Drosophila melanogaster: one gene and its partners. The protein of the gene in region 2 interacts with the protein of the main gene of each other region in a pairwise test. Each region holds a gene or a part of one and is shown on either strand. Other genes may lie near its edges. The genes, in order: CG33170, yellow-g, CG7606 and flap.

What was found.
Region 1: the proteins of yellow-g (region 2) and CG33170 interact in a two-hybrid assay, tested with the Drosophila melanogaster proteins (one large-scale study listed by BioGRID).
Region 3: the proteins of yellow-g (region 2) and CG7606 interact in a two-hybrid assay, tested with the Drosophila melanogaster proteins (one large-scale study listed by BioGRID).
Region 4: the proteins of yellow-g (region 2) and flap interact in a two-hybrid assay, tested with the Drosophila melanogaster proteins (one large-scale study listed by BioGRID).

Annotation. Positions count from the first base shown.
Region 1 is NT_037436.4:22,863,524-22,868,294, reverse strand, and holds CG33170 (uncharacterized protein), read right to left. Parts: upstream 2,810-4,771; 5' UTR 2,755-2,809; coding exon 2,599-2,754; intron 2,525-2,598; coding exon 2,471-2,524; intron 2,418-2,470; coding exon 2,331-2,417; 3' UTR 2,261-2,330; intron 1,180-2,260; 3' UTR 896-1,179; coding exon of another isoform or gene 832-895; 3' UTR 760-831; downstream 1-759. Other genes in the region: EMC4 (ER membrane protein complex subunit 4), read left to right, coding at 143-198, 259-388, 441-755; CG33169 (uncharacterized protein), read right to left, coding at 4,136-4,312.
Region 2 is NT_037436.4:2,268,979-2,274,483, forward strand, and holds yellow-g (yellow-g), read right to left. Parts: upstream 3,792-5,505; 5' UTR 3,714-3,791; coding exon 3,273-3,713; intron 2,162-3,272; coding exon 1,965-2,161; intron 1,531-1,964; coding exon 987-1,530; 3' UTR 903-986; downstream 1-902. Other genes in the region: CG32302 (uncharacterized protein), read left to right, coding at 1-803.
Region 3 is NT_033777.3:17,594,523-17,599,174, reverse strand, and holds CG7606 (uncharacterized protein), read right to left. Parts: upstream 2,640-4,652; 5' UTR 2,613-2,639; coding exon 2,412-2,612; 3' UTR 2,399-2,411; intron 2,344-2,398; 3' UTR 722-2,343; downstream 1-721. Other genes in the region: Sgs5 (salivary gland secretion 5), read right to left, coding at 3,177-3,211, 3,271-3,459, 3,516-3,783; Sgs5bis, read right to left, coding at 4,202-4,227, 4,285-4,473, 4,539-4,652.
Region 4 is NT_033778.4:22,096,498-22,101,758, reverse strand, and holds the start of flap (flapper), read left to right. Parts: upstream 1-2,224; 5' UTR 2,225-2,677; coding exon 2,678-2,777; intron 2,778-5,261.

The DNA of each region.
Region 1 (4,771 bases), about 21 Mb from region 2:
TACACATCAGTTGCCTATCGAATTGTCTACACTACAATAATTTCGGAATTTAACGTTGAACAACACTCAGCGACCAATTGTCAGAAAAAATCGTCATTTTGTTTTATAAATTGGCAAAAGATTAAATAAAAGAAAGCACAGCATGTCCGCCAAGCAAAACCCAAAAAAGTTAAAGTGGGCGCTGGACTTTAACGGGAGGTAAGGATTGCTAGCCTGCGCGGTGACTCAAGTTCTTACCACTTTTGCTTTTTCCTGCAGCAAAAATGCTGATATTCCTTCGCCGCTGGGCTACAATCCATCTGCTTTGGTGAACCAGAGTGAAGTGGTGCGCGACCAGCGCCTGGTCATCAAGAAGTCGTGGGACCTTGCCCTGGGACCTCTTAAGAACGTGAGTAGCAGCCCTTTGGAAAGACCCGTGCTTAACCTTTGGATTCCCTCAGATTCCCATGAATCTATTCATCATGTACATGTCAGGAAACTCGATTTCCATTTTTCCCATCATGATGGTCGGCATGATGCTGATCCGGCCTATCAAGGCCATCTTCACCACCCAGGTGACTTCCAAAATGGCGGAGGGGGCCCAGGGAACTGGCCAGCGCATCGTCTACTTCCTGGGCAACCTAGCAAACGTGGCTTTGGCCCTCTACAAGTGCCAGAGCATGGGGCTCCTCCCCACCCACGCCTCCGATTGGTTGGCATTTGTCCAGCCTCAGACACGCCTGGAATATTACGGCGGAGGAATTTCGTTTGTCTAGTTTTACACATATAGATTCTCTTTATTTGATCATAGATAAATTGGTTTAAACTAAAATTGTGGTCTTATTCCGCCAGTCAGTCGTCTAGTATCTTCTTGGCCTCCTTTTTGATGTCATCCACTAGTTTCTCGCCGGGCGATCTGTTAAAGAAAATAGTAAAATAATTAAGATACAGAATGATAATATGATCTTATTTAGCATTGATTTCGTCATGGTTGCACCTGGCAACAAATTTTTATTCGGAAAAGCCATCATTCACCACAGTAGAAAGATATCATCACGACTTCGCACGCATTTTTTCAGCACTTTGTCCTATTTTCAGAATTTGTAAAACAAGCGCGTGGAAAGCTTAATATAAGATATCGAAAAAAAATCCAGGTTTAGTTGACAAGTTCGACTTATAAAATTTTTACAATTTTAATTACAAAGGCATTTGACAGAGTGTGGCTCGATGGACTTTTGTTTAAAATAATCAAGCTGTTGCCCCAAAACACACATAAGCTACTGAAGTCATACCTATATAACAGAGTGTTTGCAATAAGATGCGATACAAGCACTTCACGCGATTGCGCAATCGAAGCTGGAGTGCCGCAAGGCAGTGTACTGGGTCCAATCTTATACACCCTGTATACGGCGGATTTCCCCATAGACTACAATCTAACAACCTCCACGTTCGCTGATGATACCGCGATACTCAGTCGCTCGAAATGCCCAATAAAAGCCACGGCACTCCTATCCCGACACTTAACATCTGTAGAACGATGGCTTGCCGACTGGAGAATTTCAATAAATGTTCAAAAATGCAAGCAGGTTACCTTTACCTTAAACAAACAAACATGCCCACCACTGGTCTTGAATAACATATGCATTCCACAAGCCGACGAGGTAACATATCTGGGAGTTCATCTGGACAGGCGGCTCACTTGGCGCAAACATATAGAAGCCAAATCGAAACATCTTAAACTTAAAGCAAGGAACCTCCACTGGCTCATAAATGCTCGCTCTCCACTTAGTCTGGAGTTCAAAGCTCTTCTATACAACTCCGTCTTAAAACCTATCTGGACTTATGGCTCCGAGCTGTGGGGCAACGCATCCAGAAGTAACATAGACATTATTCAGCGAGCACAGTCAAGAATTCTGAGAATTATCACTGGAGCGCCGTGGTACCTTCGAAACGAAAACATACACAGAGACCTAAAAATCAAATTAGTAATCGAAGTAATAGCTGAGAAAAAAACGAAGTATAACGAAAAGCTGACCACCCATACAAATCCCCTCGCAAGAAAACTAATCCGAGTATGCAGTCAAAGCCGGCTGCACCGCAACGACCTCCCAGCCCAGCAATAAACTTATTAGGGCATTAATGAAAAAAAAAAAAACTATCACTAAGTGAAAGTTAATTAAGTTAGATTAAGATTTGAACACTTATTGTTAGTCTCTTAACACAAAGGGAAGATTCAATAAATAATAAAAAAAATTATAAAAAAAAAAAAAAAAAAAATTACAAAGGTCGCTCTATGACTTTTTTGAATTTAGTGAAGGTAACGTTATCCTTGTACGAAACTACCAAGGCTGTTACTTGTTCTTGGTTTGATCCATTAGTTCTTTGAGTTTCTCGTTGAAACGCTGCATCAACTTCTGGGGATCATCCACTCGGGGGACCTAAAAAAGCCACTGTATTAGGAGCAAGAACAAATGTGGGTTAGGTGGCTTACCTCATAGTTCTGTGAGACATAGATTCCCGTATACACCCCGGCGCCAAAAGTTAACTGGAATGGAGAAAGGAGGATTATTAGAGTGGGTTGTGAAAATCTTCCTGAAGATGTCTATTTCGCATGCTGACCGTCGAGAAACATATTACTCGCTTGAAAGTCCAAAAGCGTTTTTTGGGACAGCACGGCAATGGCTGGCGAACTTCCGGTGGGCAAGTTTTCGCAGAGCGACTCTGCCCGCCAGTTTTGAGCCTCAAAACCTGCGCCCCAAGTCCAAGCAGTTTCATTTTAACTTCCAGTCTATATAAACGATCAATTTGGTGAGGCCTGTGTTGTTTTTCAAAGAGTCCGAATCTGTTTACTCATGGCTTGAGCGGTCATGGTCGACATAATTTCCAACGACTAGGTGATTATTTTATTTTTGTGGATATTTGAATTTGTGAGGCCTTATATAACGTTGAACCAAAAGTCACTTATGTATGTATTCAAACAGCGCACACTGGGAAGTAAACTCAAATTGAACCAATTTTGGAATCTATTTAACTGGTGTTTTGGCGCACTTTCTACCGTTTTACCAATCCACTCTTGTTTTATCCGAGCAAGAATATTTTGAATTTTGCTTAAACTTTTAATACTATTTTTTTATTTGTTGAAGTTAGATATTGGGAAGGTATTTTCAAATGTATTACATTTTGTCATTTATATTAATCATTAATATTTAATCAAATAATTGGTTTTGATTTTGAACCCCTAGACAACACATTTCACCACTGTGCAGGGGCGCGTCATCGCCGCGAAAAGCAACACAACCACAAAAACCACAGAAAAGTTGTATCTCGTATCTGATATGATTTCAGGTGTGAATCATAAACTTAAAAACATCAGGAAACCGGAAAACTTACCAGAAACTTGAGCATAGTGGAATAGTTAAAGGAGCCTTTGTCACCCGCAGCCGCCAGCGTGAGAGTCTTAGCAAAAGTGAGAGAATGTGAAAAAGAAACGTCAAACGACGCTGCTTCGGCGCTTCGTCTGCAGCTGCTCGGAATCTGAAAACAGCTGACTGGCCCACTGCGATTTGTGTTTGTATGGTTAGGTAATCGTATTTGGCTGACTCTGATAACTATGGAGTTAAGTTACTGCCTTTCGAGCACTGAACTTTTACTTCAATTTATGTACATGCATATGCATATGTATTAACAATTATTAGTTTGCGGTCACCGACGACGAGCTCCTCGGTGGACGGGCGTAAGTGAAACTGAAACAAGGGCAATCGCAATTAAAAACTGAACGCAAAACGGCCAAAAATAAAACATGTTGGTGGATGCCGCCTTCTCTAATATACATATGCACATATTTACATATTGAAGTGCCTCTGCTACGGTTTTTACCGTTTCCTAGTGCCCTTTTTTAATCAACCGCCAAAGCGCTAGACGGTTTTCAACACTACCACCAACGACCGTAATTCGGATACATTTTGTCCCCAAATCTCAAATTCCCAGGAACTGCACTTGAACAGCAGGGTGTTGTTCGTGTCATGGAAAATCCACTTTATGTAAAACATGCTTTTTGGATGGACGAACTGTGATTTAATTGTACTATTAAGGCTATATGTCTTTACAACGATTCAATTGCACTGACCACGACTATAAACTACATTTTATGACTACATTAGGCCAAGACCGCGGGGCGGGTCTTCAAGTAGACGAACAGCACCAGAAAGACCGCCAAAACGCCGAGCGCCGGCAGCACCACGGTGCGGATCTTCGCCTGGGTCTCCAGGTTGTCCAGCTTGCGCTCCTTCTTCTGTTTGCGCGTCTCCTTCACCTTTCCCTTCAGCTGGCGCATCTTTATCACTGATAGTTTTTGCGATAGTTCCTTTAATCTGGTGACGTGTAACACTCGTCGGAATGTGTGTGCGTGGAGCAACAAAACAGAGAGCTGGCCTTCTTTCGTTCAACAAGTTGTTTCTGGGCCAAAGAAGAAGAAGAAACGTTCGACTGGGCTGGCTAAAAGCAGGCAGCTTTTGACTGTCGACAGTGCTGCTTATTTCATGCAGTTTCTGGTCGGGTTACTCTGATGACACGTCCGGCCGACTAGTGTTGAACAATGTCTCTGGGACGGAAGCGCGCGTTTAAAAAAGTCTTTATAATTAAATAACGCATTTCATAAGTTAGAAAGCCATCAATTAACCTGGGGCTGTATTTGCCTCCATCTGAACATAAAAATGTCGTAGCAAGTTGTACAAAATTCACTTGCCAGTCAATAGTGAATACTTTATTTACCCAAACAAAATATAAAATAAAT
Region 2 (5,505 bases):
GCGATGCCACCGGCAGCTGGGAAACGATTTCGATGCTGGGCTGCCAATCGGAGTACAATTTCTATTGCAGCGACGAGGGTACCTTCGGATGCACCTTCCAGTCGCAGTGCCAGGTGCCCAAGAGAGGTCCCTTCAGCTGTCAGCAGGCGGGCCTGTTCCCGGATCCGTACGACTGTAGGCGGTACCACGAGTGCAGCGATCAGAGTGTGGACACCCCTCGCATCTGCTCCAACGGAGCGGGCTACTCCACACTCACGGGCACTTGTGTTCTGCCACGGGAGAGTGAGCAGTGCATCCAGGAGCAGTTCACCTGCAGTCGGTCGGGACAAGTGGGTGGATGGGCGCCCGACAATCGGTACTTCTACGTCTGCGTCAATGACACGGCCAATTCGCTGTATCCGCTGATGATGAAGTGCCACGAGGGATTCGTTTTCAACAGCTACAGCTGTGTGCCCGACACCAGGAGCATGAGGAGCATTCAGGCGATGGAGTCCCACACGTGCATGAACAACGATAGGTACCAATGCCCCTTCCGAACCTCTGAGATCGAGTACTGCAAGTGCGTCGATGGAGAACTGGAGGTGATGACCTGTCCCGCCGGCTTCCAAATTGATCCTAAGATCCTGACCTGCGTGACTGATAGGATCTATCAGTGCTCGGACTTTGAGATCCTCAGCTGTCCCAATGTCTCCACCAAGGATGAGTACTGCATATGCATCGATCACCAGCTGCAGATCTACAGCTGTCCAATGGGACAGTATTTCAATGCTGAGACTCGAAAGTGCCAATCAGAGTCAGAGTAATGAATTGTTTTCATGGTACCAATATTGATTCAAGTAAATGCCTATTTAAAAAATTGAAATCATTCTGAACATTTTAAGATAAACTACAAATAACTATAAATATTCACCAAAATTTTAATGAGACCCAGTAACGACAACAAATCAGTTTGAATCTTAAGCCTAAGAAAGTGGAGGGATACGGACTCAATCGTCACATTCCCGCACCACAGGATGCAGGACGATCGAGGCTCCGTTGCAGCCCGTGCGATCCGAGATGAAATCGTGGAAGTTGCTCTCCAGCGCCCACATGAATCGCTTGTGACCCGGGAGCACTTGGGTGGACAGCCGGCAGTCGCCTCCCCGCTGCACCTCCTGCAGATTGGCGGCCTTGAAGCAGGTCTCCGAGTCCCACAGGTAAATGTCGTTCTCGCCCTTGTAGCGGAAGAAGAGCGAGGTGCCGCCGTCGGCGCCCAGCAGCACCGCCTGTTTGCCATAGGGCTTGGGGCCCACGTCGATGATGGAGCCCGCTCCCTGGCCAACGCGCAGGTACTCGCCCTTGATGGAGTACAGACGGGGGGAGCTCAGGTAGCTGAAGAACAGGGTGGAGGTGCCGTCCGGCTTCGAGGTGAGCGCCACGTACAGCACATCGCTGGTGGGGGCGGTGGCCTTCGGCAGGACGATGCGGTAGGACTTGTTGCCGGTGATGTCGTATACCAGGATACTACGTGCTCCAGCATCGGCCACATAGCTATGGTTGAAAGTGAAGGAAATATAATGTGGAATGAGATTAGATATCATGTATGCAATACAAATCGATTTTATTTGGTATATGATGAGCCACACTTCTGAGAACTACCTTGAGCAGATAAGATATGAGCCTCAAAGTGGCTAATGCCCTTTTGATTGGCTCAATGATCGCTGATTGAAAGCATGATTGAAAGTGTGTGGTAAAAGTACTCCAAACTCTTGATTCAGTTCGATGATTTCAACGAATATTTTATGACTGCAATATGAATCTCTGAATATCATTGTGCTGATAAATAATGGTTAGTAATAATGGTTAATAATAATGTAATGTGTGGTATTAATTTCATAGTTGATGTATTTCAAAAAGTGATTAAGTACAACTCATTTCACAGATGAAGTTAAGGGTAATAAAAGAGTATAGGCAATGGAACTCACACGAATGGCTTGTTGTCCTTGGAGTAGTCGACCACGATGAACTGCAGCCGACTCTCGGAGGTGACCAGGTCGCTGAGGTCGATGCTCTTGACCACCTTGTGGTTGGCCGTGTTTATGGCCACGATCTTGGGACTGCATCTGCGGATGGGCTGCTCCAGGGTGTTGACAATGCCCACGTCCAAGGCCCACAGAAGTCCCTGCGAACGGAGAAGGCAATTATTAATTGCTATCAATTGCAGCTCGTGTTGATTGTTGTTAATGTTTTCATTTGGCGGCTAATTGAAATGTTGGCGGCGTTAAAAATTCCACATTCGCAAATATGTGGCCATAAAATGAGTATCAGCGAAAAGCACTGAATGGAAAATTGCGCAAATAAATAAATACAGTCGCCTCGTTTGTTTGCCGTTTGTTATTGTTTCGTCGACTTTTGTGTAAATAAAATAAAGAAATGATTTGCATAAATGCAGCTAAACGGGAATGGCATTTAAATGAGAACGATTCGACGCCAACAATAATTGAAGGAAATTATTAAGTTGCAGCTTATGCTCGCAATCGTAAGTAGGTCATGTAAATATTTAATAGCATCATTGTAATATCTGCGAATGCATCTGTCATTTAAAATTAAAGCTGAGAACTTCTGAAGTGCAATCGAAATGCACAAAACACGGCTGGATGGCCTGTTCCCAGCATTTCCAAAATTATTTTCGAGAACTTTTCACTGCATTTGCTTGTCACTTTTCAGCTGCAGTCCTTGTCCTTTATAATATTCCATTTACCCCACAGCTTTTTCGGCGTTTCCGTATCCGTTTATTCTACCCTTAAATTGCTGCCGCCAATTGACGGGCATGAATTTTATTTGGAGCTCTTCACTTTTGTGGCCCCGTTTATTTGATTAAAAAAGTAATATTTGGTCGACAGCGAGGCTAACCAATTAAAAAAGTGCGTCCGGCAAGGGGTTAATGCGAAAACGATACCCTGGAGCTAAACTCCCGATTTTGATCGACTTTGTAAGGGCTAGCAAATATTTAACACTGCGACTGCACATCAATATCAATATCAGAAGATAAACTAAATCATTTTTAGAAAAAAAAAGTGAATAGCCCTAAGAGCATTTCAATGCTACCCTGTAATCCACCCACGATACAAATATGAATTAAACATTTGGTGTGGGTTAAAGTGCTATGCCTCCATGGTGGCCAACAACGAGCAGTCCGTAATTAAAGGCAGAACTGGCAGTTTGGACGAGACAACTTGTCTGACCCCCAAAAAAAAAATGGTCCAAACAATACTGGCGTTAATTGCACTCACATTCTGATCGACGGCTATGTCCACGACGGACTGCAGCGCCTGGCAGTTGCCCTCCTCCTGAATGGCCCAGCAGGGATAGGGTGCGATCTTGGTCAGGCACTCGCCCTTCTTTAGATTGACCTTGCCGAGAGTGAAGGGCACGCCCTGCTTGTACCTGGGCAGCGCCACGAAGGCGGAGTCCCGCTGCAGTTGGGCCCGGGTCACGATCACGTTACGGGGCACATAGCGGCCGGACTGGACGTAGATGTTCTTGGTGGACTCGCAGGGCCAGTGGAGGCTGCTGCCGCTGAGCTGGAAGGTCAGTTCGTTCAGCGGGTTCTTGTCGCACTTGGTGCCGCCAATGGAGTTGGAGGCGTCCGTCGACTCGTCGGTGGAGGAGCTGTATCCCGCGAGGACCACGGAGGCCGAAGCGACGAGGAGCAGCAGTTGCAGCTGCGACATTTTTCGGCGTTTCTTTCTGCGCTTTCCACAAACAGAGCTTCTGCACTCGATTCACCACGTTGGCCAGAACATAAAACTGTCTGAGCGATGGTAGACCTGCATTTATATATAATACCCAACGACTTATGCAGCCAGCATGTGGAGCGTGTTGCGGCAAGGTCGTTGGTTGCTTGACACGGGGGGGAACAAGTGTCTGTCTGGAGTGGCTACCACCCAGCCAGCACGTCTGGCCCACGCCGGAAGTCGGCCAGACCTCTAAGCCCGCTCGGTTTCTAAGCAATGCGGAAAGCGATGCGGAAATGAAATGCAAACTTAACCCCTTCCCTCTATCTAGATTACACGATTCTTCCTAAGCCATCCAAATCAAATTTAACTCCCCTGGTTTTTACTTTAATTGTCTTGATAACAGTTTGTTCTATTATGGCAATCTATGCCTGTCTAATTAATCACTTCTACTCCTTTTATTGCTCTTATTTTCTGAGTATAACTTTGTGCTATTATAGCCATTTATAGGCAGCTAATTAGTCACTCAAGTCCGTTCAATAAAATGGGTTCAAGTTGCGAAATAGCTTCTGTCACTCATCGATCGCTCTTGTGCATCCGACAGAGTAGCAAGTTTCACCCCTTGGCAGGCAAAGTTCAGAGGTCGCTGCGAAACACTTGCCAAAGTGGCCCAAAAGTTCAATATCAATGCTGACGTCTGTGACCTGCATATCTGCGACCGAGAAAGTTTCAGTTTCTTGGCTCGAGTTACCAGCTATTTTCGGATGACAAAAACATCTGTCAGTCCGTCCGTCTGCAGCTAGCTATCAGTTTGCTTTTGGGGGAGGGGGCGGGCGAAAGGAGAAAGTTCGGGGAGTTGGTGGGGCACATTACTCGCAGATAAGATTGCAAGTTGCCGGAGATTCGTCGTGTGAATCACACCCACAGTTTCGCGGAACAGTCACTCTGTTCCAAATTGATTTCATTTCTATTTTAAGATAAATGCAAAGGCGAAATTTTATCGCATCAGGGAACTTTAAAAGGCGCTCTGAGTTCGCCATTTTCAAGTCGGGGGTATAGCTCAGGGGTAGAGCATTCGACTGCAGATCGAGAGGTCCCCGGTTCAAATCCGGGTGCCCCCTGGAACTACATTTTTTGCCATATTTTTTTTTGTTGGCTGCTCAAGTCTCTTTGTGGACTTTGGTGGACTTTTTTGCACGTTGATTGCGGGGGGATTAGAGGTGTATCCGCCCGACGTGGTCGATGACCCCGTTAACTCGTAGAAACCCACATATCGCCAAGCGGCGAATAAAAAATCTTTGACACATTCGGGCAAGCGGTGGAGGAGTCGGTGTCCAGCTGAAGAGTCTTTTGTTTGGGACAGCTCGTGCAGCGAATTATGGACAGCACTGGGCTTACATTAAATCACAAAATGTTTAATCTCCTTACAGCTGCCCATCATCAAATGACCATCGGCGGGTCAACATTTTGATAACCCATTCATCGGGGGTCAGACTGGCTGCTCCTTCCGCATGGCGGAATGGGAAGGGTCTGTCTATAATGCCAAATTACATGCAGATTGAATTTTTGTGAATTCCGATTCAATAAACTGCCATGGGTCCAAACCCCCCTTCCCACGATCGTAATCCCCCGATTTATGGCACACACATGCCCAAAAGCAGGCGGATGTGATAAGTGCTGTGATATGTGGGCGGGATTGTCAGTCGGGCCGAATCTGTGGATAAATATTTATGTGCTCCAACATAAATAAAAGCAAAGTATGCAAATGGAAATTTGACGATGCTAAGAC
Region 3 (4,652 bases), on a different chromosome or scaffold from region 2:
GACTAAAACATGTGATCCTCATCGGAATAATGCAAATTTCAGCTCATTAATATCAATCAAATGATTGATAGCACTTAGGGCCAACACCACAGTTGGTCCGCACCCCTCGATTCCGATTCCACTCCCCTCTCTCGCAGGACTGTTAATAAATCCTTTGACAATTGCTACATTAATGTCAATACATTTACATTCGTGACCGACCCCTTTCCTGTCACAATATTTGTACGACTCGTGCCGAAAAGGACTCGTGATAAGTATCCGCATTGCGCTGCGGAGATTGAAATCCCGCATCCTGCCAGCTATCTCCGCCCGGAGATTCTGTGTCAAAGTTTTAGCTCGATTTTGCGGCTGTCTCATCAATCAATTTCGTTTAGCCACTTGTCACTCAACCATTTTATTTGGCTTACCAAGTTTCGGGTGCGACTAATTTCCGGCCAAAGGGATTGAGCTAATGCAAATCACATTTAAAACACTGCACCTAAATCACAAAATTTCATCGAGAGACCAGAGTACAGCTGTAAATATAATTCGAACATTGTGTTGGACACTATGTGGAGTATTGGGCAGCCATTGCTGGCCGCGCGGTAAATTTGCAACAAATTAAAGGCCAATTAACCCATCAGACGGGCTTATGAGCCGCCGACCGCAAATGCACGCGCACACACGCAATTGCAACTATGCAATTATCAAATTAGTGCGGGGCGTGGCGGGTCAAGCAATTGGAGAAACAAATAATAAATTGGACGCTGAAATGCAAAACACACACACTAAGCACTATAATTAAGTTGTTGACCCGACCCGACTTGACCCTCACTGAATCGGTTTGGGCCAAGATGCGATGCACAACAACAACCAACAACCAACAACTGACAACTGACAGGCGCATAGGCCTCGAATTAATTAATATGTTTGCATAGCACAAGATGCAGCAATACAGCAATTATGAACTGGCACGGGTGTGTCCCGTCATTCTCCCTATTCCCCCCACTAATTACCAATTTTTAAGTCCTCGAAATGCACTTAATTTTCCACTGATATGGATCCTCCCTTTCGCGTTCTAATGTCCGTTGTGGCCTATTGAACACACCCCTTGGTATTTGGCCCACCTTACCTAAATGAAACGGCACGCGCCGCTGGAAATTTTTCACCAAACATTTTCAACATACCTCTGCGGTTTTCCGGACGTTTTTATAGTTCTTCTCAAATTGCTCTAATTCGTTAAGTTATAAAACCGGCCGCCAAGTTTTCAGATCCATTTACTTTTATTGCCACGGCGGCGGTCAATGAACCAGAAGTCAAAAGGACTGCCCAAAAAGGACGACACATGCGTGTTAATCTCTAATTTGCTAGGTGATCATGTGGATATATATATATATACATATATATATATAGATAGAATGCATACATATTCAACATCACAGCGGGTAGTTGATAGGAGCTTGTTCCATTCGTATCCTTTTAATTGCCAGACGTCGCCGTGTTTCGAATTTCGGTATCTAAAGTTGTTTTTCCCATTTTAATGGCGCTATTTTCATTAGGCAAATGTATGCTCGCCTTATTCCTTTCAATTCACTCCCAAAAAATGTCGACTCCTTTATTTTTTTGTGCCGCTCATTAGCATATAAAATGTATGAGTTGTCCTTTATTTGAGAGGCAGTGGTTGTGCTCGCCAGCGAATGGGTCTGTATACACAATCCACGTTTATTGCATATTCATCATTTTAATTGCTTGTTTTCATACTAAATGACTCGATAAGGCTTTTACGGCTATTAGGCGCAGGCATCCTGCGGCTCGACAGTTGGGTCATCTGTATCCATATTTAAAGGATACTAGGAGGAACTTGGTCAGATACGCCAATTTGAACCGAAGTGTGTTTAGCACGGATAAATAAACTCTTTACTTTTCCAATTCGAAGACAAGCCTGGCTTTGGAATCCTTCAAATGAAATTAAATACTGCAGGACTCCAGCTAAAAGGACAAAGGAAGCAATTCACGTAGAAAAGTGCAAACGAGATGTAGCCGAGGGAAAAGGCAGGCGAATGGGGTCCCGATATGATTACTTTTCCTTTTGTTTTCCCATTTCGGAACTCGGAACTGGGGAAATCAAGAAAGCGTGGTGGAAAGAACAAAGGAATTACTTTGCCAACGAGTGAACGAATATGAATAAAAAAGTGATCAATGCAATGAAAATGATTGTCTGCTCATTGTACCGCTCCCTTTACAATTGAGCGCACAAAGTGCGAAAAGATGAAAGTTTGCAAAATGTATCAGTACTTTAATGAAAAGGAAAAACAAATAATTTGAAAAACGAAGGTTTTGTGAAGGCAAAGTTCTGAAGGGGTCCTGCAATTTGGGTATATTAATGAAATATTTTACACCATTTTTGTGCTACACCTACCTGGAGTCCTGGATTAATCCTTGCAGCCACACCCGGAAGAGGAAGGACATCGACAGGGGTTGCAGCCACATCCGCAGGATCTGGATCCGCAAGAGAGGCACTGCGGCTTGCCACACCCACACCCGCACTCGACCTGTTCCGGCTCCTCAACGGAACAGCTCTGGACCATGGAGATGGTCAGGGCAACCAGGATGATTAACTTTATATTGAACATTGTCTGGCTGTAGAAATCGAAGTCCACTTGAAACTGTGCCAAGGCGGAATGAGGATCGACTCTTTATAGGTTCAACTTGGGGGTAGGGCATTATTTGATCAGTTGATCTTTTATTCTATTTTAGGCTATCACTGCTGATTAAGTAAACGAGTGGCTCTGCGCCTTTTTATTTATCAATAATATATGTTTTCTTTAAATTTATAGTCGATTCAAGGTTGATAACACTTCGTTCTGCGTTTATAATTGATTTGTAAATATTTTCAATATATGTAAATACTATTTACTGGTTTTTAAGGAAAAAAAATGACATTTAACCAAAAGTTAAAGACCAAAAAAATAAATAAATTATGGTGTTGAAAAATAAAAAGCTTTTCAATGTTTAAACATATGCATAGCTGTTTAGTCTAAAAAAGATTTTCATATTCAAAAAAATTTATTGCACTCGTCATTGAATATATTTCTTTATTATTTGTAATCCATCTCCCTTTAAATGAACAAATCAACAAAATAATAAAACAAACAAACAAAGATATTAGTAACGTGATCCAACTGAATCCACCTCACTTAGAAGGGCCAACAATAGGAATAAGTCAGGAATGCTGTAAAGATACAAAATGTATATATTACCGAAAATTTGGAACCAATTCTTTTGACTTACGTTTGCTGTTCTCCGCTGAGAATTTCAGCAGGTGGCACAAACTGTAGAATCTCTCTGTGGCAATCGATCCTGGCTTTCGATTGCATCCACAGGGAGCCGGAATGGGGAATTCAGCAACCACGGGGAAACCCACGCTGCACTTTTTGCAGATGAAGGAACGGCAGAGTTCCTCCGTAACGGGCACAAATGCTGTATTTACAAGATATAAATAAAATACTTTTTACTTAACTGGTTAATTTACTTACGGGATCTACCCTCCTTTTTGCGCTGGTCGCTCTCGATTTGCATAAGGCATTCGTTTTGGAAACAACGGCAGACACAATCCTGAAGAGCCCATTGGTAGTTCCTATAGTAAATATTGCATTTACTTGGGACGCTCGTAGAGTTCTTTATTTCGGATTCAATTTCAGGCTCTGATACTGGTTTTTCTTCGATTTTCGTCTCCTGGACGGCTTGTCCATGGTGGAACCACGAAACGGCCAATAACAAAAGCAGCAATTTAATATTGAACATGTCGTAAAAGTGGCTAAGAATATAACTGTCCCCATAATATCTCATTTGGCTATTTATATTGAATACACTCCACTGTTTTAGCAGTTGTGGCAAAGCGCTTTATTGACTTAGTGCATCTGAAAGTAAAATGTTTGCAGAACGTACGCAAACAACCTTGACTGGCCAAAAAAACACAGCCATAAATTTTCCACTCCAAAAAAAAGCTTTATCACACAGGTTCCTAAAAACAGACTCTAAAAAACATAAGCAACGAAGACTTATAAAATCAGGTAATAATGCACCGTTTTAGGCGCTTAGTCAATCAACTCTTAAGACAAATGTAACAAAAACGTTTGCTGCTTTAAAATGTTTATTCATTATTTTTAACAAGGACGCGTTCGAGGTAGTCAAATTATCATCATCAATTACAAGTCATCTTTTAACACTTCGAGTAGCTGATATAGGCTGAAAGATATAATTATTTATGTTATTAACTATATTTCTATACAAACATCAACTTACGTTTGTTGCATTCAGCTGCGTACTTCTGCAGTTCGCACAGACTCAAAAACTTCTTGATTTCCAGACTGCCCTGTTTGCCATTGCATCCGCATGGCGATGGAATCGGGAACTTGGCCAGCACAGGCCATCCAAGGAAGCACTTGCGCTTGATGAACTTCTGGCACACCTGCTCGGTGACCGGAATTAGAGCTGAAAAATATAAACAAAAATAAGGTATAACTAAATGATAGTGTTTTAATAGCATATCATCTTACGGGTTTTTCCAGCCTTTTCCCGCCGATTGCTCTCCTCGTTCAGAAGACAGCCGTTCTGGAAGACCCGGCACACACAATCTTCAAGAGCCCAGGCGTGTTCGCGCCAGTAGATCT
Region 4 (5,261 bases), on a different chromosome or scaffold from region 2:
AAGTTTGAAATTTACATGCCTATATACTCGGGCTTCCCCAATCCAAATTATATATATATATACAAGTCGGATTTCGCATGGTGAAAAACCGTTGGACTTTGTTGTGCGACATTAATGACGATAAACAATTAATACGGCGCTTTGGGTGAAGGGTCGCGGCGACATTTCCCAACTGAGCCGACTCTATTAAAGTAAATAATATGTGGCGCTTTGTTGCCGCTCTTAGCTGACTGTGCAGTTTCCGAGATGCCAGCGTGTTGCCATTGTTGTGGCCAAAAGCCGAAAAGCCAAAAGAAACCAAGCCAAACGAAACGAAACGAGACGAAGCGGCCTGAAATGTATAAAAACGTTTGTTTTCGTAATACAATTTTGATTACTTCTTCGACGCCAGCCGCCCATTGATGGGCATTGTCTCAGCTGGGCCCCTTTGTGCGTCCCTTAGCGATTTGATTTATGGGCGGAGGAGCTGGGCGCCCAATACTCCACTCCAACAGCGCTACCGTTGGCCATTTGCCGGGATCGCGGTCCATTTGGCAATAGCTTTGTTGTAATTGTTACAATAATAACAGCCGTGATTCCCGACACCACTGCCCCCCATCAACTGGGCAATCACTGACATCGCAGTGGCATGGTTTTCGGGGCTATTCCAAATAGATATCATTCAAAGATATATTTCTCAGGAATAAGCTTTTTTAGAGATTATAGAATTTAATATTATATATACTGCTACAATTTATGTGAACCCCTTTCCTCAAACTACGCCCATTTGCACCAACTGATGGGGCGAGGAAACTCTTTTTGAAGCTCTTTTGATCGTCGAAAGCCAAATGCCGGTACAAATGCTCAAATGCGGAACCAATAAGCTGACATAATTTTTTGTGATGGGCGCTGAAAAAAAAAGAAGATTTGCTCGGGCCAAATGATAATTACATTCCAGAGACATCTGAAGATATGGTCACGGTTGGCTTTCGAATGCGATCATTACCGCACTTAAGTTTGAAGACCATAGAAGATGGTTATTCAAGGACGTAACAGAAACATATCGTTGATACTAAAGTACGAGACTATTGAACTACCTTCTATATGCAAAATATGAAAAGAATTTCATATGGGGGGCGATCATAAAGGTGATGACTTATGAGCACGAGGTGCGATGATCTAATCACCGGTCGCGTCAATAGCCGGGCGGGCCGAAATGCCAAAAGTTCATCGATCACTGACACCGCCGACCAACTCAACGCATCTTTACTGAACGCTGATCTGCCAAAAGTCTGATCGATCGATCGATTGGTTCTCTGACTCAGACCAGTCAAGAACCCAATGCACTGAGCCAGACTGAAACAGGCAAGTTTGAAATGTGTTTATGTCAACGCCGCGATTGTCAAATATTGTATTAATGAATTGAGATGGAGTCGAGAACAACAAGAACTCGCTGTGGGAACAGGATCTGGCGAATCTGTGGCACATGGAAGGCATAACTTATGCATTGTTAGCATAATAATTTTCCAAAAATCAAGCCAAACCTGTCAAAATAAACAAACCGAACGGAGCACATTCGTTTTCAATAACCATTTGCATTTCGTGTGTGTTTAATTTATGCGAAAGTTGTGTCTATTTGGGAGGCGATTTAGCTATTGTCTTGTAAATCATTTAGCGAATAGCACTAATGTTAGGCGACTGTTAGCTGGATGTTAATATTAACACCTTATCGAAATGCGGGATCAACTTCTATTTTGGTATGCTTGCTTCGTTGATATTAATATATAATACATATTACATATATTATCTTGTTCGTCATATCTACTAATCTCATAAAGATATTCGTGCTATAGACGCATTTTTAAGATAACACAAAAGTTGGCTTACAGGGGTTAATATCTGAATCCGATCATGTTGCTCGGCTGACCTTGAACGTCATTGGCAGTGCGTCAAAGTGTGGCGAGAGACCAGTATGCAAAAAAAAACTGATCACCTGGGGTAATTAAAATAATTATTTTGCACTCTTTTCCGGTTGATAGTAGTACACACACACATGGCGATCAGAAGGGTTGGAAAATTCGGGGGGAAGCTGAAAAAGGCTCTTGAATAGATAACGCTTTCGCGCGTTCGAAATTCCCATTTTTCCCAACTTACTTACTTGACACTCTGCCGCCGTCGCAGTCGGCGTCGCTGGCGACGTCGCGGCTTTAGCCAAGTCGAGCTTGGAGCAGCGGCTCTTGGCCAAGTTTATTGAAAGCGCAGAATCCGTGAGCTACGGACGTGTTTCGCTCGAGCGCATCGCGCATCTCCCAGATACGACCTACGATCTCCATCGCTCTTGCTCGCTCGCACCGCCGCCCTCCGCGCATAGCACCCTCTCGCTCGCGCACCGAAGTGATCGTGATATCGTGCCGCGGATTTTATTCCGATTGAGAAAAGGCGGTGAAAATATTACACATTATAGTTGTCGGCTTCGATTGCGACGCCTGCGATTTTGTCATCGCGATCATTGTTGGCCGGATCGACGGCTCCTACGCGATATAATTGTATTCCCGCCGATCTCGCTGCCATCCCCTTTGGGCAATGCCCAATTCCAAATTGTTAATTGCGTGACAAATTCGAAAAGGGGTTAATATATAAAGAGAAATAATACGAGCAGTAAGCCAAAACGCGAAGCTCCGTGCTCACCCACGAGATAATGCAGTTCGATCCGAAGACACGATGCGGTGGCAGCGTGGTTAGCTTTACCGTTATGCTGCTGCTGATCATCGGCGCCGATTTCGCCGCTGGAAGGCCTGGTATTAAATTAAAGCAGCCTATATAGATATAAACTAAGGCGATTGCAATTGCGATTGCGATTGCGCTATCGGATCGCATATTCAATTCGCACCAGCATGCGAATCGGATTTTTGAAACGGCGATCCTCTTCGCTTTTTTTTTGTCTTTACCTCTTTCCTATTTGCGGTTTACGTTTTAAATGTTATGTGTGCTTATTGCGTTTTTTTCTGGAAGAAGCTACAAGTTTATGGGTGACATACAAAGTTATAGATATTATAAATATATGGCATAAATATTATGCCAGTCAAACCTGCTTGAGTAACATTACCATCTATGAATATTTTATAACTTGTGTATAGAATAGCACACCCATGACTTTCAGCTTCTTCTTGACGTTGTTATCTGTAACTAATTTTACGATTTTATCTCGATCCTACTAAGATTTATTCTGAACTGATCCCGAGCCCCCCTCCCCCTTCCTCTGTCTATGAATATCTGTTAGAAATTCCAATTCTTCACTCACTTTTTGCATATACAATCTCACCCTCACTTTCCATTTGCATTTGCATTTCCAAAACTCACCGGTGCACAAGTTCGAACTCACCCCACAGTTAACTTCGATCGTGATCGTGATCATGACCCACATCGGTGGGTAGGCAAGTGCTATCCCACAGCTAACAACTAATGACAGTTGCACCAATAGAACACTCACTGGGTCTGAAATCAATTGAAATATTGGCTAATTTTTATTTAGGATGTCAATACATATATGGAACCACTTTGTTTATGGATGTCCACAGAGAAGAGTATATCTTAAAATACTAATTTTTTCAGAGAAGTGCATTCTCTTGACTTGTCCCGAAGGCTTATGCATGCAATTAGCCTTCGCCGTTGAAGAGCCTTTATAAATGCAGCCTTAAGCTGTTTTTGTTTGACAAACAAACTGAAGAACTGGGTGCTGATCATTAAGTTTTTTTTGGACTGAAAGCGAAATCAGGTAGCCGCTGTAAAAACAAACAGCGAAGTTCCCAAAGGCAAAGCCGTAAGAAAAACGAAATTCGAGAAGAGCCGTTGTGAAGAGGCCCCCGAAGAAAACCCAAAACCAAAGCCAAAACTCCAACTCCAATCTCAAGACGAAACTGAAACCCAGAGCTCCAGCAAGTGGAGTTACGTAAGCTGAAGATAACGTGACTGGCAAGGCTTCGGCGATGTCGTTGTCGATCCGTCTTCCTCTTGGCGTTTGGGGGGTTAAAGGAGGGGTTAAACGACCTCTGGAATGGAGTCCCTTGGGGGGTAGTCCATGTAGTTCATAAATTTAGCGACGCTTTTGTCAAGACGATCTGTTAACTAAGTTGTTTACACCAACTAGAGACTAATGTCGGGGCGCTCTTTTTGGGTCATGGGGCCACAAGCAAGAAGCTGTGACAAGAAACTGAGGATTTCGAGAATGAATGTACCAGAAAACGGTTTAAAGACTTGGCCAAAACCCATTGACCAACTAGACAAGTTAATTGGCTACTAACAATTAAAACCAATCCATAAACTTAGAGCTCATTCAAAGCACCCATGATGGAAATATCATTGGAGCCTAATGGTTTTGTTTGGCACGAAATAGTTATATTTCGGTCGCGGTTTTCATATTCGGCAATCAATGAACCCATCATAATGAATGGACCCGTACGTGATAATTAGCGAATTCGCACGGATCTGAAATGGGTAATCGTGCCTCACTTTCGCGTGCCTTGATTTATGATTCAGTCGCAGATTATCGTAATTAAAACACAATAGGATATCAACCAGTTATGGATATAGATGAAGATATGTAGACACATGAGTGGCGGCAGTTTGGAGTTTCGACATAGCCAACTAACTCTTGCCAATTTATCAAAGACAGCCGACACATTCCAATCTATATAGAATTGGTTCTGGGGCCATTCTAAACCGCAAATATTTATTCATTTATGGGAGAGTTCGGTTTCCGTTTTAGTCAACTTGCCCCTTGACATTTTTGAGCCAATCACAATTGAATCATATTTCATCTGGCTATTTCAAGTGCAATAAACACATTTCGTTTCTCATCGAAGTATAATTTACAAGTTGGGATTGTGTTTTGGCGATTTGGCACGGCATTTGACACATTTCGTTAGCCGTTTCTGTGTGGGATGACAGCCCAATATGTCGATACCTCCAAGGTCTGCGAGATGATATAAACGAAGATTAATAAAAATCCATTACAATTTTTGTTCGCTGATTCCGGCGAAGGTTGGCCAGGCACAGAAACATGTCAAAATCAAGAAGATGGTAAACAAACTGTAAAATTGGCAAGTGCAAAATGTTTTCAACAGAAATACCCATTGTCTCTAGGTGGGTGCAGATGTCGTGAAGCCGTCAATCAATTAAAAATTAAATTCAATAAACATAAACAGTGAGGGAGATGGCGATGGTGATGGAGATGGAGATGTCGATGCGAATGAAGATTTCGCTGGAGACAAGCAAAATTAATT